Linked DNA regions of Macaca fascicularis. The protein of the gene in region 2 interacts with the protein of the main gene of each other region in a pairwise test. Links are inferred from orthologs where the notes say so. Each region holds a gene or a part of one and is shown on either strand. Other genes may lie near its edges.

Evidence for each region.
Region 1: the proteins of FHL3 (region 2) and CNNM3 interact in binary tests that used the Homo sapiens proteins (3 or more experiments, as listed by UniProt). The two-hybrid records come from large-scale screens. The link is inferred for Macaca fascicularis from reciprocal best matches to the Homo sapiens genes FHL3 and CNNM3.
Region 3: the proteins of FHL3 (region 2) and RFX3 interact in binary tests that used the Homo sapiens proteins (3 or more experiments, as listed by UniProt). The two-hybrid records come from large-scale screens. The link is inferred for Macaca fascicularis from reciprocal best matches to the Homo sapiens genes FHL3 and RFX3.
Region 4: the proteins of FHL3 (region 2) and FOSL2 interact in binary tests that used the Homo sapiens proteins (3 or more experiments, as listed by UniProt). The two-hybrid records come from large-scale screens. The link is inferred for Macaca fascicularis from reciprocal best matches to the Homo sapiens genes FHL3 and FOSL2.
Region 5: the proteins of FHL3 (region 2) and ZNF512B interact in binary tests that used the Homo sapiens proteins (3 or more experiments, as listed by UniProt). The two-hybrid records come from large-scale screens. The link is inferred for Macaca fascicularis from reciprocal best matches to the Homo sapiens genes FHL3 and ZNF512B.
Region 6: the proteins of FHL3 (region 2) and TTLL10 interact in binary tests that used the Homo sapiens proteins (3 or more experiments, as listed by UniProt). The two-hybrid records come from large-scale screens. The link is inferred for Macaca fascicularis from reciprocal best matches to the Homo sapiens genes FHL3 and TTLL10.
Region 7: the proteins of FHL3 (region 2) and GCM2 interact in binary tests that used the Homo sapiens proteins (3 or more experiments, as listed by UniProt). The link is inferred for Macaca fascicularis from reciprocal best matches to the Homo sapiens genes FHL3 and GCM2.

Annotation. Positions count from the first base shown.
Region 1 is NC_088387.1:1,835,747-1,839,776, forward strand, and holds the start of CNNM3 (metal transporter CNNM3), read left to right. Parts: upstream 1-1,230; 5' UTR 1,231-1,265; coding exon 1,266-2,490; intron 2,491-4,030. UniProt on the Homo sapiens protein: Probable metal transporter.
Region 2 is NC_088375.1:196,908,855-196,913,040, forward strand, and holds the start of FHL3 (four and a half LIM domains protein 3), read left to right. Parts: upstream 1-1,386; 5' UTR 1,387-1,426; intron 1,427-1,584; exon of another isoform or gene 1,585-1,742; intron 1,743-4,186. UniProt on the Homo sapiens protein: Recruited by SOX15 to FOXK1 promoters where it acts as a transcriptional coactivator of FOXK1.
Region 3 is NC_088389.1:95,612,183-95,616,280, reverse strand, and holds the start of RFX3 (transcription factor RFX3), read right to left. Parts: upstream 2,801-4,098; 5' UTR 2,659-2,800; intron 2,646-2,658; exon of another isoform or gene 2,281-2,645; intron 1,614-2,280; exon of another isoform or gene 1,440-1,613; coding exon of another isoform or gene 1,418-1,439; intron 1-1,417. UniProt on the Homo sapiens protein: Transcription factor required for ciliogenesis and islet cell differentiation during endocrine pancreas development. Essential for the differentiation of nodal monocilia and left-right asymmetry specification during embryogenesis.
Region 4 is NC_088387.1:93,832,556-93,836,692, forward strand, and holds the start of FOSL2 (fos-related antigen 2), read right to left. Parts: upstream 2,801-4,137; 5' UTR 1,956-2,800; coding exon 1,854-1,955; intron 1,211-1,853; exon of another isoform or gene 1-1,210.
Region 5 is NC_088384.1:120,099,554-120,103,053, forward strand, and holds part of ZNF512B (zinc finger protein 512B), read right to left. Parts: intron 3,426-3,500; coding exon 2,767-3,425; intron 2,664-2,766; coding exon 2,437-2,663; intron 2,344-2,436; exon of another isoform or gene 2,340-2,343; coding exon 2,268-2,339; intron 2,166-2,267; coding exon 2,022-2,165; intron 1,865-2,021; coding exon 1,740-1,864; intron 1,662-1,739; coding exon 1,569-1,661; intron 1,392-1,568; coding exon 1,293-1,391; intron 1,218-1,292; coding exon 1,047-1,217; intron 720-1,046; coding exon 525-719; intron 293-524; coding exon 191-292; intron 1-190. UniProt on the Homo sapiens protein: Involved in transcriptional regulation by repressing gene expression. Associates with the nucleosome remodeling and histone deacetylase (NuRD) complex, which promotes transcriptional repression by histone deacetylation and nucleosome remodeling.
Region 6 is NC_088375.1:233,578,403-233,581,737, forward strand, and holds the end of TTLL10 (protein polyglycylase TTLL10), read right to left. Parts: intron 2,058-3,335; coding exon 1,941-2,057; intron 1,589-1,940; coding exon 1,495-1,588; intron 983-1,494; coding exon 519-982; 3' UTR 501-518; downstream 1-500. UniProt on the Homo sapiens protein: Inactive polyglycylase.
Region 7 is NC_088378.1:162,067,501-162,071,792, reverse strand, and holds the start of GCM2 (chorion-specific transcription factor GCMb), read right to left. Parts: upstream 2,801-4,292; coding exon 2,711-2,800; intron 1-2,710. UniProt on the Homo sapiens protein: Transcription factor that binds specific sequences on gene promoters and activate their transcription. Through the regulation of gene transcription, may play a role in parathyroid gland development.

The DNA.
Region 1 (4,030 bases), on a different chromosome or scaffold from region 2:
TTTTTTTTTGCACATTACTTTCCACACAAGTTTTACTTTGTGGCCACAATGTGCATACTTTATTTGAATGTTACTTTCATGACATAGCAAATTGTTTCTATAGTTTTTATAAAGGTCATTTAAAATGACATGCGCAGTAAGTCAAAGTCTTCCTGTGCTAGGAAATTTGAAAAAACAAAAGTGTAGAGAAAAATACAAAAATTACTGAATCTGAACATCTACAGAGAAGTGTTAGCATCTGGTCTGTTTCCTTCCAATCACAGACAGATCATATCTAATGGGTAAAGAACCTTCCATACTGTCAACAGACCACACTGTCTTCTAAAATCAATTCACCAGTGCGGATCCTCTGGAATAGATCTTGTGAGTCCCGAGGTGGTACTTTCCTCCCAGCGGCGAGCTATGAGAAGTGGAATCACCAGAGGTAGTCATTCCGTAGACAGAACTGCCGCCTCCCTGCGTGGCTGCGATGCTGACCTGGGTGGCAGGCCGGGGGCGCCGGAACCCAGCACGCACACTAAGTCGGTCCGAGCTCCGCTCTGCTCCTGTAAGATACTAACAACCTGAGGTAGCTGTCCAGACTCAAGGCGGTAGTGATTTTGTGTGTCTGCGTGTTTATCGCGGGGTCCGCAGCGGGACCGCAGGGGCTGTGTCCGACGTCCCCAGACCTCCAGCAGGGTCCGGAGCGATGAACATCTTCCATCAACTTCACCTCCGGGCGCTCGGTCACTGGTTCTTACTTCAGCCCTCTTAGCACCGTAGGTCGGCGCGTCGAAAACCTTTCTGGCACCCGGTGGTCTTTCCTAAGAAAAAGGCACATCTCTCGCACATTTAACTCTCCGTCCGGTCTTTAACTTCAGGCGCGCCAGGACCCGAGGTTCTTCCGAGCGGCAGCTCCGCTCCAGAGCCGGGCACTTCCCAGAGCATTGGCGCGGCCTCCGGGCGCGGGGGACAGCCGGGCGCCGCGCGCGGGCCGAGGACAGCCGGGCTGGGGAGGCCCTGCCCGCCGCCCCGCGTTCTCCCGGCCACGGCCACCCCGCGCATCCGGAGCTGCCGCAGACCCGGCCGGGCCCAGAGCCCCACGCCCCCGGCCCGCCCCTAGCGGCCGCTTGTTTACTCCCCGGCGCAGCCTAGTCCGACCCTGGGGCCCGCCCCTGTCCACCGCCTATTGGCCGAGGAAGCGCGAAGACCGGCAACGATTGGCCCGGGGAGGCGCGGGGCGAGCGGGGTAGGCTGCGCGAGAGGCCGAGAGGGGGCGGCAGGCGATGGCGGCGGCGGCAGCGGCGGCGGGTGTGTTAGGCTGGTTGTTCGCCGCGCTCTGCCTGGGCAACGCCGCGGGGGACGCCGCGCCGGGCCCGCGAGTGCTGGGCTTCTGTCTGGAGGAGGATGGAGCGGCGGGCGCGGGGTGGGTACGCGGAGGGGCGGCGCGGGACACGCCGGACGCCACCTTCCTCCTGCGCCTCTTCGGCCCGGGCTTCGCCAACAGCTCTTGGTCCTGGGTGGCCCCCGAGGGGGCGGGCTGCCGGGAGGAGGCGGCCGCCCCCGCGGGCGAGTGGCGCGCGCTGCTGCGCTTGCGCCTGCGGACCGAGGCCGTGCGCCCGCACTCGGCGCTGCTGGCGGTGCGCGTGGAGCCGGGTGGCGGGGCGACCGAGGAGGCGGCGCCTCCCTGGGCTCTGGGCCTGGGGGCGGCCGGGCTGCTGGCGCTGGCAGCGTTGGCGCGCGGCCTGCAGCTGAGCGCGCTGGCGCTGGCGCCGGCGGAGGTGCAGGTGCTGCGCGAGAGCGGCTCGGAGGCGGAGCGTGCGGCGGCGCGGCGTTTGGAGCCCGCGCGGCGCTGGGCCGGCTGCGCCTTGGGCGCGCTGCTGCTGCTGGCCAGCCTGGCGCAGGCAGCGCTGGCGGTGCTGCTGTACCGCGCGGCCGGCCAGCGTGCGGTGCCTGCTGTGCTGGGCAGCGCGGGGCTCGTGTTCCTGGTGGGCGAGGTGGTGCCGGCCGCCGTGAGCGGTCGCTGGACGCTGGTGCTGGCGCCGCGCGCGCTCGGCCTCAGCCGCCTGGCCGTCCTGCTCACTCTGCCCGTGGCGCTGCCCGTGGGGCAGCTGCTGGAGCTGGCAGCGCGGCCCGGGCGGCTGCGGGAACGGGTGCTGGAGCTGGCGCGCGGCGGCGGCGACCCCTACAGCGATCTCAGCAAGGGCGTGCTGCGCTGCCGGACCGTGGAGGACGTGCTCACGCCCCTCGAAGACTGCTTCATGCTGGACGCCAGCACCGTGCTGGACTTCGGCGTCCTGGCCAGCATCATGCAGAGCGGCCACACGCGCATCCCCGTGTACGAGGAGGAGCGCTCCAACATCGTGGACATGCTCTACCTCAAGGACTTGGCCTTCGTGGATCCTGAAGACTGCACGCCGCTCAGCACCATCACTCGTTTCTACAACCATCCGCTCCACTTCGTCTTCAACGACACCAAGCTGGACGCTGTCCTGGAGGAGTTCAAGCGAGGTAACATCCCGGGCATGGTGCAGGGGACGCCTGTGCCAGTGCCCTCTCCCTGAAAAGGGATGGAGAGTTATGAAAGCCTTCAGGAAAGGGTCCCACCCCCGTGGCGTGCGGTGAGACTTCTAAGGTCCCTTTTCAAGACGGTATTGGCCTTGCAGGTTGGAATCACCTTTTGAAATACTTAAAGGCCATCCATCAGAGTGGGAGAAATCCTTTAGACAGCGAACACTTTAACCCCCGCGTCAGGATGGCACCCCTATACATATCCTATTTGCAGGGAGGGGTATGTCCGCTTGGCTCTAATCCCCCAGCTCTTCCCCTCTCCCAGAGCGTTTCTGTGTGCTTGTCTTTGTAGCAGGTCCAAATGTTTGGCTAGAAACTAGAAGAACACAGAGAAGAGGGTAGTCTCCAGGTATCTGGGACGTTGTGGCCCGCACACATGTAATATCAAATTGACTGAACGTGTGATGTTTCCTTCAGAGCGTTCTTAAGGTCTCTGGCTTTACTGCAGATAAGGGTATTTAGGTGTCAATCTCTTATCTGCAGTAAAGCCAGGGAAACTTACACTTTGCTTCCCCCAAAAGTAACTCCACGGATGCTGACTTAGTCTCCCTTTCTCTCGGCTCTGTCGCCCAGGCTGGAGTGCAGTGGCGCGTTCTCGGTTCACTGCAACCTTCGCCTCCCAGGTTCAAGCAATTCTCCTGCCTCAGCCTTCCGGGTAGCTGGGACTACAGGTGCACGCCACCATGCCCGGCTAATTTTTGTATTTTTAGTAGAGACGAGGTTTCACCACGTTGGCCAGGCTGGTCTTGAACTCCTAACCAGGTAATCCACTTGCCTCACTCTCCCAAAGTGCTGGGATTGCAGGCGTGAGCCACTGTACCTGGCCTTTTTTTTTTTTTTTTTTGCTTTTTAATCTCCTGTTCTTAAAAAATTTTATATAGAGACAGGGTGTCACTATTTTGCCCAGTCTGGTCTCAAACTCCTGGCCTCAAGTGATCCTCCCACCTTAGCCTCCCAAAGTGTTGGGATTACAGGCGTGAGCCACTGCACCCAGCCTAACCTACACTTTTCTATCTGTAAGGTTTCAAGTTCTCCCTTCACTCCACATTTTCATCCCTCCTTTCACTCTGTTTTATCTAAGCAGTTCGGAGATTGAAGGTAAAACCAATACTCCCCAGATATGAAGGTGTGGTTTCCTCTGTAGTCCTCCCCAGCGTCATCCTTAGGGGTGCTCCCCAGAGTTTGGTGCTCACACCTTGGCCAACAGCCATGCTTCTCACACCTGCACTCCTGTAGGGTGAGGGTGGGGGCACCCCAGGGTGGTGGATGGGCTTGACCCTAAAGGCTGTCTGCTGTGAGACGAAGAAGTGGCAAAGCCTCCTGGTATTTGTGGCAGGACGTCTCTGGCACTGTCTCACTGTCTGTGAGAGCCCCTGGCCTGTCGGTGCAGGAAGCCAGGCTTTGTGGTAATGATTGCTACTCCTGACTGAGCACTGCTATGTGCCAGGAGCTGATGGGCACTCTCTGTAATCTCGTCCCT
Region 2 (4,186 bases):
GCTTGAACCTAGGAGGTGGAGGTTGTAGTGAGCCGAGATTGCGCCACTGTACTCCGCCCTGGGTGACAGAGCAAGCCTCTGTCTCAAAAAAAAGAAAAAGAAAAAAAAAAATCCCAGAGAAAGTCCCCATCCATGGGCTGGATGCTCACTGCCTGGACTCCAGATAACAGGTGCCTGTGATACAAACCAAGGATGTTAGACGGGCATACATACTGAAGCAGTGTCTGCTATCCATTCATTCATCAGATGTTTATTATGTGCCGGATATTGAAGTAAGTACTGAGAAGGCTGTGGGGAACAAAACGGAGCCCTGCCTTCATGGCTCTTACCATTTAGGCAACAACAGCAATAATAAACAAGCAATAATTTAATTTTGAAAGGAAACCAGGCCTGGAGGGTGACTTGGGACCCAGGAACCCAGGCATGACACAGAGATGGGAGGGAAAGGTTCTCAGGAGTCCCAGCCTGGGAGGGTGTTAGTTCCTCTGTGAGAGCTCCGCTGCACCCAGCCTGGGTTGTGGGGAGGCCTCTGTGGGCACCTGAATCTTCACTCTAGACGCTAAGGTTATTCCAGGGTTGGTTTGTTGTCTCTTGTTTCCACTAACAGCACAGTAGAGCCTCCTGCCTCCCTCCCTCCCCCACCCCTTCCAGACCGAGGCTATTTATTCCTAGTGACAAGCCTGAGGATCCCAGGGGGGGTGGCCTCAAGGACCTGGAGGGGCCTCGTGTCCCTAGCAGGCGCCAGTCCTCCCTCACGGACACAGGGAGGAAGCCAGAGGTTTAGACACTGCAGAGGTCCCCTCCCCTCTCCTCCACCACCCCTGCAGTGCCCCATCCTCTCACACTCCTCACACCCCACCCTAGAAGCCCAAAGATCATGGGGCCAAGGATTAGGGTCTCTCCTGGGCCTCAAAGGTCAAAACTATTCCTGGGCACTGCGGAAACCCAGGCAAGACAGGACTTCTCAGCGTCAGGAGGCCACTGGAGGTGGGGAGGTGGTTACCCCTGTTTTTGCTACTCAAAGTTGTGGAGTAAAACCCTTTGGAGGTCAAGGCCCTGTGGTGGGGAGGGGTCCTCTCTTCGCCCCATGTTTTCAGAGAACACATTGGTGCCCGCTGACAGGCTCATGACAGTAGAGTCAAAACCTCCTCCTCCAGGCTGGATTAAGGCCAGGTTGAGTGTCACCCCTAAGGGTAAGGTGAGGGGGTGGGGAAATCCGAGGAGGCCACAGGACTCTTCCCCAGTGGACCATGGTCTGTGGGGTCTGATGTCCCCGGCCTGAGATGGAATACAACAGTCTCCCTCTGGCAGCTGGGGACGGGGGGGGGGGTGGGGGTGGGGGTGGGGGGTGGGAGGGGAGGAGAGCAGAGGCTGCGGGGAGGGGACAGGGGCGGGGTCCCGGCCGCCTGAAGGTTGGGAGAGCCAGGTTAGGCCGGGCAGGAGGAGGGGGCCGGGCCCGCTGGCGGCCGAAAGGGAGGTGGGGGCGGGGTCTGGCCCCCGCAGCGGGCTGGGGGGCCGGGGGCGGGGTCCGGGCGGGGCGGGCCCGCGCTCACTTCCTCGGGGAGGGGTTGGGGCCGCGCTCCCACTCGCCCACACGGTCCGTCTGCAGTCGGCAGCCTCGCCGGCAGCTCGCTCGGCCCCCGCTTGGCCCGGCCCGCAGGTAGGAGCCGCCGAGGGACGCGGCGCCCGGTTCCCCGCCCCGCCCGCGCCGCGCGCTCCCCGCTCCCGCCGCCCGCTTCGAGGTGAGCGCCCCGCCGACCCCGGCTCCCAGCCCCGGCAGTCCGCCCCCGCGCCCAGGGAGCGAAAGGACCCGCGGAGGGCTGAGGCCAGCCGCGGCCCCGGCCCCCTGTACCCGCCAGGCTCTGGCCACAGGTGCCCGGGGCACGCCGAGCCCGGGAGAGCGCCCGCCCGGACTAGACCCCTCCGGGCTGCCGGGCGGGGCGGGGCGGGGGCGGGGGCGGCAGCGAGAGTTGGGCGGGGGAGGGGGCTAAGTTTGAAATAGAAAAGCCGGATAGAGACAGACCGACCAGAAGCGCTGGAGAAACTGAGGTTCTCGCAGAGCCCAGTGGAGCGAGAGACCAAGACAGGCAGGGACTCGAGGCACAGGAGGAGGCTACCGAGACCATTGAAACAAGGACACACCGGGCGTACAGTGTTACCGGTGGACAGACCCGAGACATGGGGGCCGTCCCAGGCTTTCTGGAGCATTTTCAGAAAACATACGTGGGACCCCAGCGAACACATTCCCTGGGGCCCTTCCCCAGGCCTTGGAGGTGCCCTGAGGCTTGGGCGTCATTGGCCTCAGGCTGAATCTGCTCTCTGAGGCCTGCAGAGACACTCAGAGACTAGAGACAGAGACACTCAGGTATGCAGAGGTGGCGAAAGAGACTTGGATATAGAGACAGAGAAAGGGATGTGGTGGGGATTGAGACATTCAGCCATGTAGACAAGAAGAGACCAAGACTTGAGATCCACAGAGGCATGGGCCGCCGGGGGACAGCCAGTCAAGATACAGAGTCGTCCAAAACCTAAAGACAGAAGCTGTGTCCAGACACAGAGATGCTGAGTGAAGCAGAGACAGACACCAGAGACTGAGACTTAGTGGGGGCAGAGAGACCTAGGTGGGCTGACAGCTTCCAGGACAGCCCCTGACTTACCCAGACCTGAACCATTGGGAAGTGAGGCTCTGGGGAAACAGAAACTCTGAGCCCACCAATCCCCCATGAGGCAGAGGCCCTGAGACAGTAAGTTCGAGATCAAGAAGAACCCCGTGGACACACACAGCCACCAAGACAGCCCCAACTTATTTTTAAACTCAAATCTTGGACAGGCTGCCTCTGCCCTGGGGGACCCAGGGTGAATGAACTGTTCCTCTCCTGTCCCCAGAGCAGCTGCGGGATCCTGCTCCCCAGCCCCCTTCCCTAGACTTCTCTGACTTCCAGGTCCCATGGGGGAGAGCAGAGCTTGGGGTTGGTGCCCGGTAGCAGAGGGTGAGGGTTGAGGGAGTTGAATTTCTCCCCTTAAGTCTCCTGTCAGCTTCTAGAAGGTGGGGGAGGGGTCTGTTCTGATCCTGACTCACAGCTGTGGGACCTGGCCGGGGTCCTCCTGGATAGTGGGCATGTTGGGGGTGGGGGACAGAAGAGTTGAATGGTTGGCATGGGGCATTGGAAAGGCTTCTGGGTGCCTTCCAATCACAGGGCTGGCAGCTGGGGAGAAGAGCCAGGCTCTAGTGCATCTCCTGTCCCCCTGCCCTTAAAAGCTGATCATCCCCTTCATCACCAGGGCAGTATTTTTAGGGAGACAGAAGAGCTCTGGCCTGGGAGGCAGGGGACCTGGGTCCTGATAACTGAGTGACCTCGGGCATAAGCCTGCTCTATTCCTGCCTCCTTGTGCTCATCTGTAAAATGGGGATGATACTCTGTCCTGCCTGCCTTTTGTGAGATCTGATGAGATGGTGGTGGGCATGGACTTTGTGAGTGGCAAAGCAGCATGCAGGTGTCTACACCTGTGGACCTGTGTGGGAGATCTCAAGAGTTATGCTTACTAGAGTCAGGCTGACTGGGCTGGAGCAACCACTGCCCCCACTGGTGTCCTCAGCAAGCCCCATGGGCCTGGGGCCTCCTATTCTCTCCCTGGGCCTAGGCTGAGAATGTCCAGGTCAAATTTCAGACAAGGCTGGGCACAGTGGTTCACGCCTGTAATCCCAGCACTTTGGAAGGCTGAGGCCAGAGGATCACCAGGAGTTCAAGACCAGCCTGGACAACATAGTGAGAACCCCATCTCTACAAAAAACAGAAAAACCTAGCTGGGCATGGTGGCATGTGGCTGTAGTCCCAACTACTCAGGAGGCTGAGGCAGGTGGCTTGCTTGAGCCCAGAGTAGGTTTTTTTTGTTTTGTTTTGTTTTTTTGAGATAGAGTTTTGCTGTTGTAACCCAGGATGGAGTGTAATGACATGATCTTAGCTTACTGCAGCCTTCACTTTCTTGGTTCGAGCAATTCTCCTGCCTCAGCCTCCTGAGTAGCTGGGATTACAGGCGCCTGCCACCATGCCCAGTTAATTTTTGTATTTTTAGCAGAGGTGGGTTTTCGCCATGTTGGCCAGGCTGGTCTTGAACTCCTGACCTCAGGTGATCCACCTGCCTTAGCCTCCCAAAGTGCTGGGATTATAGGCATTAGCCACCTCAC
Region 3 (4,098 bases), on a different chromosome or scaffold from region 2:
TTTCTAGAAATTCATTAGTTTGCCAAATATGTGTATACGTATGATGCCTACACCATTTTATATAATTCACAGGCAAAACAAACCAAAAACACTGAGGCATTATGGCATACATTGAATCACAGATATTTAACTATTCAAAACAAGTTACAAGTGACTTCTGCTAAAATAGTTTTAGTTTCAAAGCATGATCACTTTTACAAATTTCTATTAGTATAAAAACTAAAAACACAAGAAAGTATCAATATGTAATATAGTCCCTTCTAGGAAAAATATTAAGAAAGAATAAAGTAAAAGCTAAGTATCTACTCTTGGGTTTAATTTTTAAATTTACCATTTCTTAGTGTTTCTGATTATTTAAGCAATTCCACAGCAGCTCTAATAGCGATTTTATTCCACATATATGCTTCAAAAAATGGAAAAGTAATGAAATTCAATTTAAGTTCTGCTCTCAAATCAACTTGTGAATGAAAATCTAAATCACAGAAAACGAGCTATACATGAGTGAAATGCCTCAAAAAAGTTCTCAGACACTGCAAATATTAAATTGTAACATTCCAGCATATAATTTACTTAACTGAAAACCTATTATGTAAATGGCATAAGGTCTGAAACTGTCCCAAGACAGCAAAACTCCTATTAACTTCAGAGAGTTTATAGGACCCAGGAGCTTCATCATCCAAAAGTGTTCAGGCATTTGACACTCAATCTGAACAAAAAAAAGTACAAGTTAGTATTAGAGATTTGCATGGAACCCAGTTTGGGGAGGGGAGGAATAATTATAAAGAATTCTGAGTACTCTGAGAAAGACTTCTTTCAGAACAAAATATCGTCTTCATTTAAAATAGCAATCGCAAGGAAATGAATTGAAAAAGTTTTTTAAAATCCCAACTCTTAGTTTACAAAATATTAGCCTTAATAGCATTATAATTACCTACCCTGCTCATTGACAATCTCAAGAATAATTAGTACTGTCACATTATTCACAAGCTGCTGTCAGTTAAATCAATATATGTTTGCTGTTAGAAGACTATTTGAATAAGCATTTTAAAACTGTAAATTAAAAACTTCAATATGTGCAACTATAATAGTACGTTGTATTTGTTTTAGCACACATTCATTTTCAAAACTCTTTATTGATAAATCTATTAACTAAAAGTTAAGCTGAAAAAAATGAACAAATTTAGGGGATCTGTAAAACTGGGTTAACGCTAACCAAGAACCTACTACATAAGGACTAATAAGTATTCAAATCTACAGAGAAATATAATTTTTAAAAGAAATACTTAAAAAGGAAAAAGTTCTCTCTCCTGAGCAGGTTCAAGTCACTGTCCAAAGAAAATCAAAAAGTAAATAAAAAGAATATGTTAAGTACAAACATGCCTAGATCTTAACCACAAAGAAAGTGAAATATACACACGTTTCAAGTTGAGAAGCTTCATACATTCTTTATGAACTTGACTTCAATTTCAACTCTCAAAGGAAAATGAACAGAGTAGATTAAAAAAAAAAACTCTTAAAGTACCATAACTGTCACAAATAACATTGTGAACTGAGTTCTCACAAAGCCTCCTTGTGTCCCTTCCCTGTTCATCACAAAGTCTCATAACCACAATGAAAATTGTTAACACTCTACTGCGGAGAAAGAGGATCATCAAAGTGAAACGGAACCTCACTACTACCCCTCCCACCTCCACATGAAGGATAAAGCACTGTCAATAACTACTAACCCAAGTATCACAGATGCCGTGCATCCGGTTTAAATCACAAGCACACACACACACACCCCCCAAAGAAGAGAGAGGAGACAGACTTTAAAAAAGAAAAATCTCTTTCCCAGTACAGCAAAGAGAGCCCAACGAAGAGGCCCCAGGTTTCCGTGTGTGTGCAAGGGGTGTGGGGGGGTGGGGGAGTAGAAAGAGGGGGAGGGAAGAGTGCTGAATGGATATTAAGACTGTTTGCCGCACAAAGAAAACACAGTTTTAAAAAGAAAAAGGAAAACCGTGAAGCTCATGATGGTGAAAGAAGAGCAGCCCATTCAGCACCAAGCAAAGAGGGGCAAAAATGAAGGGAACAGGCGGTGGGAAAAGTTCACCAACGTACGAGGATAAAAATAACAAAACCCATAACAAGGCCCCACAAGTGAACAACAACAACAACAAAACACCACCTCTTGGGTCCCCCCCTGCACACTGTTGTCTATTTCGGCTTTGAAAGAAGCAGGAAACAAGCAGCGTTAGAAAAGAAGAAAATTAAAGAAAGAACAAATTCTTATCTCTTCACCTGACCCTTCTCCTCATACCAGACCTAAGGGAAAGATCCGGCATCCGCATCGGAAAACTGTGGCTCCCTCTCCCGCTCGGCTCGCAGCCCCCCAATCTCCCGCTCCATCCCTGAAGTGCGGCCGGCGCAGGGCCGGGGCCGGCGGGCAGCGCGGCGCCCACACCCCCGACCCAGCCGCGGCGCGCAGGGTCCATTGTAAACAAGCCCGGGGAACAGAGCCCCTCGGCGGCGGCGCCGCAGCGGCAGCCCCCGTGTCAGGAGTGAGACCCCTGCACAGCCACACTCGGCTCGCACACACGAACACACACACGCACGGACACACGCGTTCACACGCAGCCACACGCTCCCACACACATGTAGAGACCGAAGAATATTCACCTTGGCTGTGGATTATTGTGGTGTTGTTGGTGGGTGATGGAGATGGTGGTGGTGGGGAGGAGGAGGAGGAAGAGGAGGAGGAGGAGGAGAGGAGTAGTTGTTGTTGATGGGTAACAGTCGCCAGGACTACGGTGACTATGGCGCTTGATTCACAAGGCAACGGTTGCTATAACTCACAAAAGAGAGAGAGAGAGGGAGAGAGAGAGCGAGAGGGAGAGGGAGACACTCGCACGGGGAGGGGTGGGGGAGGGAAGAGGGGAGGAGGCGGGCCCGGCCAAGCCGCCGGAAGGGGAGGGAGCAGCGCTGTGACTGACGGCCCCCGAAGCCGGGCGGGGTGGCGGGGTGGCGGGGTGACGGGGCACGAGGCCGGGATTCCAACACAGGACTCCGAAGAGGTGCGCCTATGCTTGGTTGGGGCTGAGGTCACCAAGAGTCCTCTCAGAGGGACGTTACTACACGCGCTGGCGAAGCCCAGGAGAATTTAGAGTCGCGGTGCGAGGATTACTATCTGTGAAACGAGGGCTGCCTTTCCCGGCAGCCAGCTTTGTGCAGAGACGTCCCGGAGCCACGAGAGAGTAACGGCTAACCCGAGGGAGGGGGTGGCGAGGGTGATTCCAGGCACTTTGTGGAAAGACGAGCTATGGCTAAGGAAGAATCCACTTTGAAGAGCAACCCCCGCCCCTGCCCGATACGTTACTTCCGGGGCGGGGCGGGCAGAGGGGCCCGGATGTGCCGCCGTTTTTTTCGTTTCTGAGGTGCTGGCGGTGTTCCTGGTCGCGTTAGCCTGCTGGCTTTTCGCTTTCCTGGACGCTTCAGGGCTCCGCGGCCTGCGGTGGACTGGAGGATCCGCGTCACTCTCGCCCTTCTGCTTTCCGCGCTCTGACCCACTCCCCCCTGCTGAGGGCACGACTTGGAGGAGCGCGGGCGGCGGGGCGTGAGCGAGCAGCCTCTGCCGCCATCTTAGAGAAGGCGAGCGTGGGGTGCGCGTGGGCGCGAGCCGGCCTCCCGCGGCCCCGCCGCAGAGTGGCGCGGAGAGGTGAGGTCCAAGCGTGTCCGGCCCTCACTCCAGAACGAAAAGGCGAGGTCATCACTCCCTGCTTACAGGGCTGGGAGTAATTGCCTGTAGAGAGCAAGAAATTGCCCTGCCCGTAGGCTGAGAAAACGCATTTGGCGAGTCTCCTCGACGGAGGGCGTAGAGGGGCGGGGTAATTTACACCTGCCTGCGACACCATCCTGTTAGTTTCTAGTTCTGTTAGTTTAAGCCCTTACGTGCTCATCCCTCTTTAAAGACTGAACCGGGGCTTGAGCTCAAGCCTGGATCCTGTTACCTACCTTGCCCTCAGCCCCACTTAGTCAGCCTACTGTAGCTGAGGGTCTTGCTATTTCCGGCTGAATTGAGATAGACGAATGGCTTCCGTCTGTGTTGAATGTTGTTAACAC
Region 4 (4,137 bases), on a different chromosome or scaffold from region 2:
GTTATTACTAATTGCAAAATCCTCATGTGTTACAGCATGCTAGGAATTAGCCAACAGCTGCTTTTTGCTTCAGTAATGAGGCCCTATTACACTCTGCTGGACTGAGTTCTCTTCCTTCTTCCTAGCACTGGTTTCCTGTCTGATTTTCTTCCAAAACCGGGAATTGCCTCCGCTCACATCCTGGGCTCAAAGCCCTAGTGACACAGATTATTCAGTTGGGGCAATGATGTCCGGTCTGACATCCCGGCAGGCCCCAGGGTCTATGCTAAGCCAGGCAGTGAGATTGTAATACTCCAACGATAACTGCCAAAGACACATTAGGGAAAAGAACAGGGAAGAAATCAAAAGATCCCTTCCTGATTCCAGGGAGGAGGACAGGCGTTTGGGGTTTGTTGAACGGGAGACGGAGGGTACAGACTTCAGCCTATTCCCTCAGGATGTTTACATTCAATACAAACCACCAACGGGGCTGGGGAGCAAACATAACCAGTAACTTTTCGGATTTAAAACTCATCACCTTGGTGCTCAATACGAACGGTGCATTGACTGCACCCTCAATGAACAGACCAGGCTGTCTCTACTGCGGGTGCTTATAGGAGCACCATGGGAGGCAGAGGGAAGGCAGAAAAGCCATTTTGGGGACTCATCAGGTATAGGGAATCACTTTGGAACAAGGGATCCCTCATCAGATCCAAAAGAGAGCCATGTTCCATAAGACTTTCCAGCTGAATCTACCCCTCCCTGGAAGCCCACCCCAGCCCCTTCTAGAGGCCAAGGCCACCGCCTTATGGAGCATCCCTTGCTGCAGCCAACTGTGCTAGACTCCACAGATGCTGACCACCGTGGGCTGCATGTTGTATTGGGCCTGCGTTAACCCAGCTCTCTCTTGAGACAGAGCGGGTGGGGAGCCGCAGCAGAGGGCAGGCACGCCATCAGCACCCCCCCCGCCCCGCAACAACAGTACCTTCCTGGTATTTATAAACACAGAGATCACACGCACAATCCCTCCACCGCAAACCAGTCCGGCTGCTTTAGAAACAAGTTGTTTTCTGCTTCCAGAACCACCCAGGAGCCTGTGTGATGTCTCTTCCCCCACCGACCCCCTGTTCTCTCTGCCGGCCTCCTTGCTCCAGGTACCCCCAGACCCTCACGGTGCTCCTTCGTTCCTGCGGGGCAGTGCAGCCTCCTGTCCTCGACCCTTACAGAAGACGGGCGGGCAGGCGGGCAGGCACTGGGCACACAGGCGGCATGAGCCAATCAAGGCTGGCTTCTTCCTTCCTGACCTTCGCACCTGATTCCCAGAGCGGCAGCCCTCGCCCTCGCTCCAGATTACTTGAAGGAGTCCAACCATGTTTCTGGATCCCCAACCCCTTTCAGAAAGGAGCTAAGACTGATGGAGAACGAGGAGGGGAGAGAGAGAGAGCTTTCCTGAAAGAATAGGGTCCCAGGATGTCGAAAGGTGCCAGTGGGTGCAAAGATTTTCTTGTCTGTCCACCATCCAGAAAGAAGACTCGGGGCGGGGGGCGAGGAGGGGCGGGCACTGGGGAGGGGGAGTAGTTCATGGGAGGAGGTAACAGGCTCTTCCTGGTAGGGGGCCTACAATTCCAGGAGTTTATCTGGGTAAAATATAATGTGGGAGGAAAAGGGCATGTTGTCTTTTCAAGCCCACTCCCCAATCCCCTGATGTAAAAGGGGGTGGTGGGGGAGGAGAGGACGAAAATCCAGAACTTAACAACGGTGGCCCGTAGGTATTTTTTCGCTAAGAAAAGGAAAAGAAAGCAAAAGAGGCAGTGGCGGCGAGAGGAGGGCAGGGGTCCGCCCGCGCCGCCAGGTGCACCGGGGCCCGCACCTACCTGCTGGCCGCCGCCGCCGCTGGAGTACGACTCGGCGTGCGCAGGAGAGCCGCTGCTGCCCCGGGACGAGGTGTCAAAGTTCCCGGGATAATCCTGGTACATGATCCGCGGTAGGGGCCGGAGGGGAAACAGGGTGTTTTTCTTCCCCCGCCCTCGCCGCGGCCGCGCACCGGCTGCTGCGCGCTCGTTCGTCCGCCGGCCGCGCCGCGGGCTCTGGGTTTCGCTCCTGGGTTTCTCCCCAACCGCGGCGGGCGAGGACAAGGAGGCGGCGACACCTCGGGAACAGCGTCCCCCGAGCGCCTCTTACGGCACTTCTTTCCGGCTCTGAGAACGCCGCGGGACCAGTTGTCCACCCGGTCCCTCCCTCTAAAAAGTCGGCGCGTCTCTCGGTCCCTCCCCTGCGCGCGCCCTCCCGCCCCCGCGCGCAGCCGGAGCTCAGCCGGGACCCACGGCCCAATCAAAAATTGGAAATTAAAAAGACTAGGAGCCCAGAGAGCCTGGCCTGCCAGCCCCCGGGACCCTCCGATTTCAGACAGGGCCAAAAAGGCGGAAAGAAAAGCTGTCCGCTGGGAGAAACTTCTGTTTCTTCCTTTCAGAAAAGGAGCCGGAGAATAAACTTCCCGTGGCCGACTCGCCGCCGGAGTTTCGGGGCGGCTCGGATACTTGACTGGGAGAAGGCGGCGTGCGCCCGTCCCGCGGCCCCGAGCGCGCCAGGGGGACAGCGGCTCGTGGGGCTCAAGCTGAGCTGGCGCTGAGAGGGACGCGGCCCTGCTCCCCGCTCCGGCGCCCGGACCTGCACCCCTTCCCCGGCGCCCGCTCCCGGACGGGCCCGCCTCGCCCGACCGCGCCTCTCCCTCTCCCTCTTTCTGTCCCCGCCGAGCGCCGCTCGTTCGCTCGCTCGCTGGTTCGCTCGAAGCCCTAGCGCTCTGCCCGAGATGAGTCACTACAATGGCACGAGTTCAACTCACACTCTTTATTCTCCAGCCCTGTACCATGTGGATTCACTCACGTCAACCCCAGACTCCACCTTGCAGGGAGGAGCGCACGAGGAGGCGGGGGGAGGAGGCCGCGGAGGAGGAAGAGGCGCAGGAGGGGAGGAGGCGGGCGCAGCTCTTCCCTCCCAGCCCCGGCTCCCGGCCGCGCTGACGCCAGCCGCGCACCCCGCGCGAGGAAGCCAGGCGGTGGCCCTGGCGGGAGCGGGCGGCCCGCACGGTTGGGGGGCGCCGAGGCAGCCCCGGCCCTCCCCCGCCCCCCGCTCACCCCCCGGGCCCAGCGCCCTTGGTCTGTTCCATTGGCGCACGTTGCCAAAGATGGTCATTTGCGTTAGAGGACGCGAGTGCGGGTTTCCTCGCTTTCGGGTGACGTGGAGGGAGAGGGATTCCCTCGCCCGCTCCCGAGTGCGCTGTGGCCTCTCCCCCGCCCCGGGAAGGGGCGCGGGGCGGGGCCCCGAGAGCGGCCGCGCGGTCTCGACTCCGGATTTTAGAAAATAATCACAGCCCTGACGGGGAGACGGGCGGTTCGGTGCGGCGCCACCGGGAGGCCGGGAGCTGGGCGCGCAGAGCCGCTCGCAGGGAGGGCGCGGCCGCGCGCGGTCGTAGGCGCCCTTCGCGGCGCCGCCGAGTGCAGCGGGCGCCCGGGGCGCGCAGGGTGCCCGCGCCGCCCTGCGGCCGGGTCTTGGCGGGGCGCGGCGCCGGGCGGGGCTGGCCTGCCTATTTTTCCCTCCGTGGCGGGCTGCCTACCGCTTCCCTTTTTGATTTTTGTTTTTCATGTTTTCGGTCCTACAGTTAATTCGTTAGGAGTAGCCTTGAAGATGAAATTAACCGGGCAAGATATTCCGGCTGCCCTGTACGCCGAGCAATTAGGACGCATCTAATAAGAGTAATCGGGCGTTCATAAGCAAACTCCCGACTGTTACGAATTAAAAAAAAAAAAAAAAAAAAAGTAGCCAGCGAGAGGGTGTGCCCCAACGTTGTCGTCTTCAGCTGTTTTGGAGCGAAGTTCAGGGCGCGGGTAGCCGGACACTTGGGTCCTCCTCCCTCACTGGGCGGGGCTGGGAGGGGCGCGGCGCAGGGTACAGAGCACAGACCTTGGAGCAGGAACGCCCGGCTACGCTATTTACGAGCTGTGAGATCTTAGACCAATTCCTTAACCTCTCTGGGCCTCAGTTTCCTCCTATAAAGGGAAGGAGTTTGGAGCCATGACCTTAGGCCCTTCTCTGCTCTGGAGCTCCAGTCCTTCTGCTGAGATGATGGTGTGTGAATGGAGAAGTACTGTAGCGGAATTC
Region 5 (3,500 bases), on a different chromosome or scaffold from region 2:
GATCTCTGAGACCTCTTTGGGACAAGTGAGGGGGTGTGAGTCCTGGGAATCGGGCAGGCTGGGCATGCAAGGCCTGGGGTGGTCTGGGCACCTCCTGAAAGCTCTCAGCCTCCACTCCTGCTCTGAGGGCCACACCTGGGCTCTGTCCCTGTGTGGGTCCCCACGCCCCCACCCGGCGGCCTCTGCTCACATCATTGGGACAGTTGACGTGGCCTTTCTCCTTCACTTCATTCTTCCATGCCTCTAGCAGCTGGGGGTTCAGCGTGGGGAGCCCTGGCCGAGTGTAGTTGAGCTGTGAATTCGACAGCACCAGGGTGAGCCTGAGGCCAGGAGACACCCCAGCTGCTCTAAGAACACTCGCCTTGGCAGCAGGCAACACTCGCCACGGCAGCAGGCAACACTCGCCACAGATGGCGGGGGCAACGGGTGGCCCAGGTCACGGGGCGGCTGTCCCAAGGCTCAGGCCAAGGCATGTCCCGCCCAGAGGCCACAGCGCTGTCCACAATACTGGGTGGGCAGCTCACCCGTGCGGTCTCGGGCACGAGGTCATCCTTCATGCGCCGCTTGGTCCAGTCGCGGGCCAGCTCGTCCTCTGCTATCTCCTGCAGGTGGAACACCGCCACCTGGGCCGACGTGCGGCGGACACGCCCGCTTGGGGTCCGCTCCACACCCAGCAGGTCCTCAGCCTCGGGGGACTTGTCTGTGGGCTCCTCAGGGGGCTGAAGGGCAGGAAGGCATGGAGGCTAGAGTGAGCCGCAGGAGCAAGAGGCAGGTCGGCGCACAGTGAGGCCACCCCAAGGCCGGTGGACCCACAGGCCTCGTAGTGTGCTGGGGACACGGCTGACGCAGGCAACCCGAGGGAACAGGGAGGTTTCACCCTCCCGCCCACCAGGACACCCGCCTCTCACAGAGAGGGGTGGGAAACACATGCGTTAGGCGGCACATGGACAAATACGGTTGGTACCCGAGGCACACAGAACACACACGGCAAACAGGAGCAAGCATGGTGCCACGGAACGGATGCCACAGAACGGAGAGCCACTCACAGGGGCCGTGTGCTCCGAGCGCACGTGGTAGTCGTGGCCGGCCTTGGATCGGTATGTCTTGCCACAGTGGGTGCAGGGGAAGGAGGGGCTGTCCACCTCGCAGGGCGGCTTCCCACAGCGCCGCTGGTGGTACTGGTAGCCCATGAGGCTGGAGAAGGCAGCCCCGCAACCCTGGGGGTCAGGCCAGAGGGTGGGTGAGTGGCCAGCAGGGCCCCCCCACCCCACACTGCCGTGGCCCCCACTGACCTCCTGGGGGCAGCGTAGCCGTCCCATCTGCTTCAGCACCTTGCGCAGCCGCTCGCGCTCCTCCTGCTCACCCCCCTCAGAGGCCTCGGCGTCAGAGGGCTGGGGACGGGGTGAACGTCGGTGACCCACCACCACCACCACAGGTCCCTGCCCTGGCCCTGCCCCACCCAGGTGTTGGGCCACCGTCATCCGAGGCTAGAAACTGGGGGAGCTGTGGTGAAGGTGGGGTGTGAGGTCAGAGGTCACGCTGGACAGGCGCTGGGGGCCCGACGGTACCTTGGCACTGTGCTCGGCCATGGTGTGGTAGTTGAGCCCAGCTTTGGACTTGAACTGCTTCCGGCAGTGCTGGCACTTGAGTGCATCCTGAAGCTGCAGATGGCGCAGGTGTGAGAAGCCTGCCTGCGGCCGGGGCACCTCCCTCCCAGCGCCTTCCGGGAGCTGCCTTACCTTCTGACACACCTCCATGTGCTTCTTGAGCCCCACGAGCGTCTTCCGGGTGACCACGTTGCAGGTGGGGCAGACGGCTTCCCCACGCTCGTGGATGGCCCTCTGCCACTGCTCTTCAGGGCCACCTGTGGGGAAGGCAGGGGCCTCGAAGGCTTGTGGGGACCCCTGGGTGGCCTGGACACCAGGCACAGAATCCAGCCTCCACACTCAGCCCCCATCCCTGTGCTGTGGGATCTACCCGCGTTCTAGAGCTGCCCTGAGCCCCTGCCAGGCAGCCCCTACCTGGAGCTGGGTGGGCCATGGGGGCTGGTGCCTCCTTGCTGACAGTGATGGGGGCTGGCACCTTCTTCCGGGCATCCTCAGGGCCTGGCCCCTCCTGCTTCTTGGAGCGGTGAACTCGGGCCTTGTCCTCAGCTTTGACCAGGCCTGTGTGCACACATGGGGTGGAGAGAGGCAGGGGTGGGCTCAGGGGCTGCCGCTCAGTGGACAGCCCCAGCCCTGGAAGTGCACACCGGGCTGGGGTCTTACCTTTGAGCCCAAAGGTCCCTGAGATGGATGGCTGCTCCCCTGTAAACTTCTTGGGTGTTTTCTGTTTCCTTCCTGACTCGGGGAGAGAAAACGGGGGCCAAGATTCTGGTCAAATAACCGTCAGGAGCCGAGCCTGTGCCGGCCGCCACCCCTGGGGCTCTCATCTTACTGTGCTTCGTGCGCTCGGGGTCCTCCTCAGGCGGGGACGCAGGGCCTGCAGCCCTCAGTGCCTCCACGCCCCCCGACGGCCTGCTGCCTGGCGACAAGGAGCCACTGCTGGCATCTGCACTCAGCTGGAAGGCCGAGCTCTGGCCCATGGTGGAGGGGCCGTACTCCCCATTCTCTGGCCTGGCCTGCTTGGGTGGAATTGGGCAGGTGTCCAGGCCGTCCGCAGCCCTGCAGGGAGCAGGTGAGGTGAGGGCCAGGAGGGCCTAACTTTGGGCCCCATTACCCCCAGGCCATGGCCGAGGAGCACCCCGGCCTGGAACGAGCCCCATACCTTTTCTTACCACTGTTCCTCCCTGTGGCACGAGGTGCTTTGTTTTCCGACTTGGTCAGCAGCACCATTTTGCAGGGCGGTGTGTGTCTGCTGATGGCAATGGGCCTGCTGACTGTCACCGGCTTGCTGACCACAATGGGCCTGCTGACTGTCACTGGCTTGGTGACCGGCACGGGTTTCGTAACTGTCACAAGTTTTGTGACCGTAATGGGTTTGGTGACAGGTACAGGTTTGGTGACTGGCACAGACTTGGTGACTGTGATGGGTTTGGTGACTGGCACAGGCCTAGTGACCGGCATGGCCTTGGTGACTGGCATGGGCCTGCTGACTGTGACAGGTTTGGTGACTGGCACGGGCCTAGTGACTGGCATGGCCTTGGTGACTGGCATGGGTCTGCCAACAGAGACTGGCTTGCTGATGCCAATGGGTTTGCTGACACCCACGGGTTTGCCAATAGTGACAGGTTTGCTCACTCCAATGGGCTTGCTGACCCCAACGGGCCGGCTGATGGTGACCGGCCTGCTGATGGGCCCAGGCTTGGAGGCAGGCAGAGGTCGGTCCATGTGGTTCCAAATCCGGTGTTTCTCCAGCTGGGTCTTAGAGGTGAATGCAGCCTCGCAGAAGGGGCAGGGGAAGGCGAGCCGATCTGAGATGGCACCCTGGGCAGGGAGGGCGGGTGTGGGACAGGGCCCCAAGGGCCTCTGCCCAGACACACCCCAAGGCCTCCTCTTCCC
Region 6 (3,335 bases), about 37 Mb from region 2:
GCGAGCCCTGTAGGTGCCCACGGCAGCCATCCTGGGCTCAAGGGGGGTCCTCCTTTGGAGCTCCAGCAGGGTTCAGAGGGGCCCATGGGGTCCAGACCCTTCCTGGGGACACCAGGCAATGGCGGATGCAGGCCAGGCCATGGGGGCCGTGGGGTCACAGGGCTGCAGGAGGGTCCTGGTGCTGAGGGGCTCAGGGTGATGGGCGGGAGCCCAGGATGGGGCAGCCCGGAAGGGAGCATAGGCCAGCTGTGGGGACCCCCCTTCCTCAGGACAGCCCCCCAGGACTGGGCCCAGCCGTGGAGACCCCTGTCCCTCAGCACAGTCTCCTCAGGGACAGGGCCCAGCCATGGAGTGGGGGCTACTGGGGCCTGGGGGCAGGGCCTGGGGGCTGGGGAAGTCCCAGGGGAGCATCTTTCAGGCCAGTGCCGGCGTGGTGGGGGGCGACCCCGGTGGGCATGGGCTCGGGGCGCTGAGGTGGCAGGACCGCTGCAGAGACCATGTTTGTAACAAAGTAGCCTTTATAGGTCCCTGAAGGCGGGCAGTGTGGCTGGGGCGTGGGGTGTGGGGCGTGGGTGGCCGCCCCAGGGCCTCGCGTTCTCGGGCTCCTTGCGTTCCTCCTTGGCTGTCCCCGGGGAAGGCTCTTGCTCCGGGTGCCTGTCGCCTATGCCCGGGGCCTGGGGCTGCCCATCGTGGGCGCTATCTGGGTCAGGACTGGGGCCGGGCAACTGGGGACGCTGCGGTGCCAAGGGAGGTGGCACAGGCCTGCGGGTGCCCGGCTGGTCTGGGGCACGCGGCGTGGGTGGCCCGGAGGACTTGGCCTGGCGGGTGGGCGGAGGCAGCCGTCGGCGGAGGCTGCAGGAGCCCCCCAGGCGCGGCCACACGTCGGCCTCTCCGTTGTGCAGGAGCACGAAGCGACGCTGGGACAGCAGAGGCAGCATCTTCTGGCCACGCAGGCTCTTCTGGAAGGTCTCCAGTGCCAGGTCTGGTGAAGGTGGGGGGGAGAGGGTAAATGGGGGGCAGAGGCTGGGACTGGGAGGAGCAGGAGGGGCGGGGAGGGTGTGGGGGGGGAGGGTGTGAGGTGCGGGGAGGGTGTGAAGGGTGGGAGGGTGTGAGGTGTGGGGAGGGTGTGAGGGGCGGGGAGGGTGTGAGGTGTGGGGAGGGTGTGAGGGGCGGGGAGGGTGTGAAGGGTGGGGAGGGTGTGAGGTGCGGGGAAGGTGTGAGGTGTGGGGAGGGTGTGAAGGGTGGGAGGGTGTGAGGTGTGGGGAGGGTGTGAGGGGCGGGGAGGGTGTGAGGGGCGGGGAGGGTGTGAGGGGCGGGGAGGGTGTGAGGGGTGGGGAGGGTGTGAGGGGTGGGGAAGGTGGGGGCTGGGGCGGTGCTGCCACACAGAAGGTGGAATAGCCCCATCTGTGGGGGTCCGAACTTGGGAAGAGGGCGGGTGGGCATTCAAGACTGGGCAGGCTGTGGGGGTGTGGGGTGGGGGCTTGGAGGGCTCACCCAGGGTCTCGATGACCACACCTGGGATGACCTCCTTCAGGACCTCGCAGTTGGTGTGCAGGGCTGGGTTGGAATTCATCTCCAGCAGCCATACCTGCACCAGATGCCAGTCAGACCCTCCCCACCTCGAGGCCACTGGGCCAGCAGGGCAGAGGCCCTGGTCCTCGTTCAGCCAGGTGGCTCTGGGAGATTGCTTCCTTTCTATAGCGTTGCTCCCCTGTTTGTCCACTGAAACTCTGAGGGTCTGAAGCTCTGGCCTGAGGGGCTGCCCTGAGGAGGGGGTGCAGGTCCGTCCCAGCTGCATAGGAGGTGAGCCTCGTGGATACATCCATCCCCAGGGCTGACTGCAGAGTCTGCCTGGGGCCTGCCAGTGTGGTTAGGGTGTGTGCAGATGGCCCCTGCCTCCTTGCATCTGCCTCCCGTGCCCCCGCCACCCAGGACAGCACCTTGAAGTTGTCATCAATCAGGAAGTCACAGCCGATGAGGTCAAAGTAACCCAGCTTGCACTCCAGCTTGGACTTGGCGGCCAGAAAGCAGTGGGCCATGATCTGCTGCATCCGCTTCTGCAGGGAGACAGGGAGGCATCCTGGCTGTGGCCTCTAGGCCCTGATCACACCCCAGGTCTGAAGAGCTACAGCCACGTCCCTCACCGGCACTCCCATCTGAACCCACACCTGTACAACCACACCTGCCCACACGTTCGTGCACTCAGCATCACAGGCTCACAGCCAGAAACTCAGTCAACAAAATCCTGGAGCTCCTGCCCTGTGCCAGGCCCTGGAGATACACGAGTGAGCAAAACTCACAAGAAATCTCTGCCCTGGAGCAGTTCTTTCATAGCAGAAGAGACGGATAGCAAATGGGATACATAAATCTCGAATCACCGTAAGAACGGTGAATTTTGTCGTTTTTTAATGTGCTCTGGTTTTTTTTTTTTTTTTTTTTTTTTTTTTGAGGCGGAGTCTTCACTCTGTCGCCCAGGCTGGAGTGCAGTGGCACCATCTCGGCTCACTGCAAGCTCCGCCTCCCGGGTTCGCGCCATTCTCCTGCCTCAGCCTCCCGAGTAGCTGGGACTACAGGCGCCCGCCACCGCGCCCGGCTAATTTTTTGTATTTTAGTAGAGACGGGGTTTCACCGTGTTAGCCAGGATGGTCTCGATCTCCTGACCTCGTGATCCGCCCGCCTCGGCCTCCCAAAGTGCAGGGATTACAGGCGTGAGCCACCGCGCCCGGCCAATGTGCTCTGGTTTTATCCTCTGCTCCCCAGCTCAGCTGTAGCCTCAAAAAACAACGGCGTGCATCCCCAGAACTGGAGATAGAAAAATAGACCTCATTTATGAAAAAAATTGTAATTATTTGTTTTCTTATGTCTGGTAGTTCTTTGGAAGATCCCACTTGAAAGGACTAACAGAAAGTAGGAGGGCCGGGTGTGTGGCTCACACCTGTAGTCCCAGCATTTTGGGAGGCCAAGGCAGGAGGATCACTTGAGCTCAGGAGTTTGAGACCAGCCTAGCCAACATGGTGAAACCCCATCTCTACTAAAAATACAAAAATTGGCCAGGCACATAGCTCACACCTGTAGTCCCAGCACTTTGGGAGGCCGAGGCGGGAAGATCACTTGAGCTCAGGAGTCTGAGATCAGCCTGGGCAATAAAGCGAGACCTTAGCTCTACAAAAAAATTAACAAAATTAGCTAAGCATGGTGGTGTGTGCCTGTAGTCCCACCTGCTTGGGAGGCTGAGGTGGGAGGACTGCTTGAGCCCAAGAGGCAGAGGCTGTGGTGAGCTGAGATTGTGCCACTGCACTCTAGCCTGGGCGACACAGTGAGACTGTCTAAAAAAA
Region 7 (4,292 bases), on a different chromosome or scaffold from region 2:
CAGTTGGAAAATTCAGACTTGTATACATCATGAATACTGCACATTCTAACAGTAATAAGGTAAATGAGTGATTTTGTTTCTAAAATTACAAAGATATTGTTGAAATAATTATTACTACCATTAGGTATTATTTATCTTTTCTCTGAAATATTACAATTGACATAAATTAGTACATTAATGTAAGGTAAGACACAAGTGAAATATATAATGATGTACTATCAACTCCAAGCTTATACTAAATGCTAATATCTTTGTTTTCAAAGTGAATATTTTAACTTAAGGATCTTAGTAATGAATTGACAATTTTCCAGAAAACAGCCTTTCTTTAGTTCTCCCTTAAGGATGTAGACTAGGCCCACATGCCTCACGCGAGCTACTGAGGTAGTGACCCCGGCAGTGGAGCCGCAGAGACTCTATCTTTAAAATCAGAATAGAGGATGTCAAGGATTGGGTTTCATTTGTTCTAAAGTGTTGACATGTTGTGTGTGTGTGTGTGTGTACGCACACACACTCCACCTGAACCTGATCGTAGACCTGGAGGAGAGTTTGAGATGGTTATCTCACTCTACCACTTGATGACAAGTCGGTAAGTAGCCTGAGACTAAGGCAAATTCAAGGACTCTCTCAAGGTCATACAGGTAGTTTAACTCGCTCACTTGGTTAGCCAGAGCAGGGCGATGCTAAGTTTCTTCACTTCACTATGTCCCAGTGTGCCTGGCCCTTTTGAGCTATTACACACATACTTCCACTTAACAACCAGTCTCCTAAAACAAAGTTCATATTTACATAGGAAGTCTACCAAATGCTTGAGAGACGAACCATAATTACATTATTTGGATGTGATTTTCTAATATGCAAGATATGATTGTTTCCTGTGAAGATGTACATGGACAGAAACAGAATGAGATGCACTTGCTGTACTGTGGTCCACTTTCATGAAAGTGGTACCATGTGACTCTAAAGTAGGCAGACTTTAAAACAAAGGAGTGGGCTGGGCACGGTGGCTCACGCCTGTAATCCCAGCACTTTGAGAGGCTGAGGTGGGTGGATCAGCTGAGGTCAGGAGTTTGAGACCAGCTTGACCAACATGGAGAAACCCCATCTCTACTAAAAACACAAAATTAGCCAGGTGTGGTGGCGCATGCCTGTAGTCCCAGTTACTTGGGAAGCTGAGGCAAGAGAATTACTTGAACCTGGGGGATGGAGGTTGCAGTGAGCCGAAATCATGCGATTGCACCCAGCCTAGGCAACAAGAGCTAAACTCCATCTCAAAAAACAAACAAACAACAAAAAACCCCAAACAAACAAACAAAAACAAAGGAGTAAAACACACCTCACCTACAAATGTGTGGCTCCAAAAAAGTGCTGACCTCTTTGAGAGGCGACACAATGTTGCAATGAATTACTATTCATCTGAACACCTATCAGGCACATTTTAGTTGCTGAAAAAATGACACATCTCTTTTATTCCTGTGCCACAACATTGCTGGAAGCCCACATTTGTAAATGGCTGGGAAGCAACTCTCATTCTACATCCCCCATCCCCCACAGCCCAGACTTCAGAGTCACTCAGTTTTGGCCCAAACCAGTATGACCAAGCATAATTGGTCATTCTCTGGAATTGGCTTCAAACCACTTTATTTACCACTTCATCCATCCCAGTTCATTCTTTGGACTTGGCTCCAAACCATTTTTGCTTTATACAAAAATGCTTTATACAAAAATGCTTTATACAAAATACAACGAATTCACCCTAAAAGAATGATGATTTGCTTGTCATTATAGAAGAAGTAAGTTTCGGGGACAGATGGCCTCGTTGGCATGACTATGGGGCCTCCTTCCTCTGGGCAGTCAGGCAGGTCTGAACAAATTGCTGAAGTCTGGCTATTTGTTTTAAGTTTAGGTCATTAGATTCACTTTATAGTTGTACCTCATAGTTTTGCTGTATGAGAAGCAGTGGTATTTACATCTGTTTAGATTTTCTCGTTAGCTTTCTCATGGATTTAAAGTAAATGAATAAGGAGAGAGGCACCTGATTTCTACCTTGGTTAACGGGAAGCGAAAGGACAGGCGTCCCGCTCTCCCCAAGACTGGGAATGTGGAGCCTGATCAACATTTCCTGCTGCTTTCCGCGTAATTTCAGGCAAGCACAAGGAAATTGCTGGGAGAAGACACATTTCTTCTTCTTTCTTTCCTTTTTTTTTTTGAGACAGAGTTTTGCTCTTGTTGCCTAGGCTGGAGTGCAATGGGGTGGTCTTGACTCACAGTAACCTCCGTCTCCCGGGTTCAAGCGATTCTCCCGCCTCAGCCTCCCGAGTAGCTGGGACTATAGGCGTGCTCCACCACGCCCAGATAATTTTGCATTTTTAGTAGAGACGGGGTTTCTCCATGTTGGTCAGGCTGGTCTTGAACTCCCGATCTCAGGTGATCCGCCCGCCTCGACCTCCCAAAGTGCTGGGATTACAGGCGTGAGCCACCGCGCCCGGCCGAGAAGACACATTTCTAAACCCAATTCAGCCTTTTGTGGAGTTCAGTTCTCTTTATACATTTGAGGGGGCCTCAGAAACCCAGAAATTTTGCGTGTGTGTGCGTGTGTGTGTGTGTGTGTGTATGGTCCGTCCGCAGACTCTTCAAGAACTTGAATGCCATTCTCCCTCCCTCCTTCGGATAGACAGCGCCCCGCGTGCCCGCACACACCCGGTTCACTTACCTGAGGCATCTGTGGATCGTTGATGTCCCAGCTGAGCTGCATCCCGTATGAGCACACGCCGACCGTATCCTGCACCGCGGCTGCCGGCATCTGCCCAACTCGCTCGCGCTTTCCGCCCAGGGTTCTGAAAAATAGAAGAAAAAAGGAGAGGTGCGCCAGGTGATTTTTTTCTACTCTTTAAAGAAGAAAGTGGGGTATGTGTGTGAAGGGGAGGGGCAGAGAGAGAGAGAGAGATTGTTTAGAAATCTGGAAGTTGGGGACAATGGTTATGGACCCGGGCGGGGCCCTGTCCTCGGCCGCGGTGCTGAACGGTCTCCACCCGAACGGTAGCATCGACGTCTGCAGCTGATCCCTCCTTTATAAAGATGCATCTCCGGGGGACTCCGCCCTGTTTCGCCTACCTCGCTAGCGCCCACGCTCCAGGGGCCAGCCACCACCTCCACCACAGACTCAGGAACGGAGGTGGAGGTTAAACTCAGCCCTGGAAGCAAAGGGAAACTGCAGCCAGGGGGTGGGGGTGGAGAGGGTAAGTTGGAATGTATCCTTTAAGTTTAAAACCTTATTATTTTCTTCTCTTTTCTTCTTTTTTGTCTCACTCCGTTGCCCAGGCTGGAGTGCAGTGGCGCCATCTCGGCTCACTGCAACCTCCGCCTCCCAGGTTCAAGCGATTCTCCTGCCTCAACCTCCCGAGTAGCTGGGATTACAGGTCCGTGCCACCACGCCTGGCTAATTTTTGTATTTTTAGTAGAGACAGGTTTTCGCCATGCGAAACCCTTACCAAGCTGGTCTTGAACTCCTGACCTCAGGTGATCCGCTGGCCTGGGCCTCCCAAAGTGCTGGGATTACAGGCATGAGCAACCGCACCCGGCCTATTTTTTTTTTTTTTTCTAAACGCATCCAGCTTCCCTGATTTCGGAAAGGGGCTTAGATGGAGGCTTTGGAAGCAGAGGCTTTCCAGCAAAGTCCCCTGAGAGTCAACACTCAATTCCAGTAGAGCATGGGAACCGTGCATGGGCCCCTCTGCCGTCCGCGCGCTCCCTACGCTGAATAACCGTGCCCATGCCTCCTAGTTACGGGTCAGCCCATTTTGGGCCTCCATTGCCGGCTCTTCCCCTAACTATTGTGCGTGTCTCGGAGTCTTCGCTCGGCTGTTTGGGATGTGTGAACGGGCGCCACGCCTCCGCGTATGCTCGCGAGCCCAGGCGCCTTCGCGCTCCCGGGGACTTCGGAGGGACCTGGCCCTGCAGGAACGGAGTCCTACAAAGTGAACCCGGAGGAGGTGGGGGGAAATGAGCCTGGGGTAGGTAGGAGCCTGGGGAAGGACGGAAAAGGGAGAGGGGTAAAGTCCCGAAGAACTCCTAGCTTTCTCCACTGCTTTGGCTCCCTCTGGGTCTCAGCTTCCTTATCTGTTAAATAAGGGGTTATGGTTCGGGGAGCTCTCAGTTGCCACCCACCTGAACAGAACTCTTTTTGAGACGGAGTCTCACTCTGTCGCCCAGGCTGGAGTGCAGTGGTGCAATCTCAGCTCACTGCAACCTCCGCCTCCCAGGTTCAAACGATTCTCCCGCCTCAACCTCCCGAG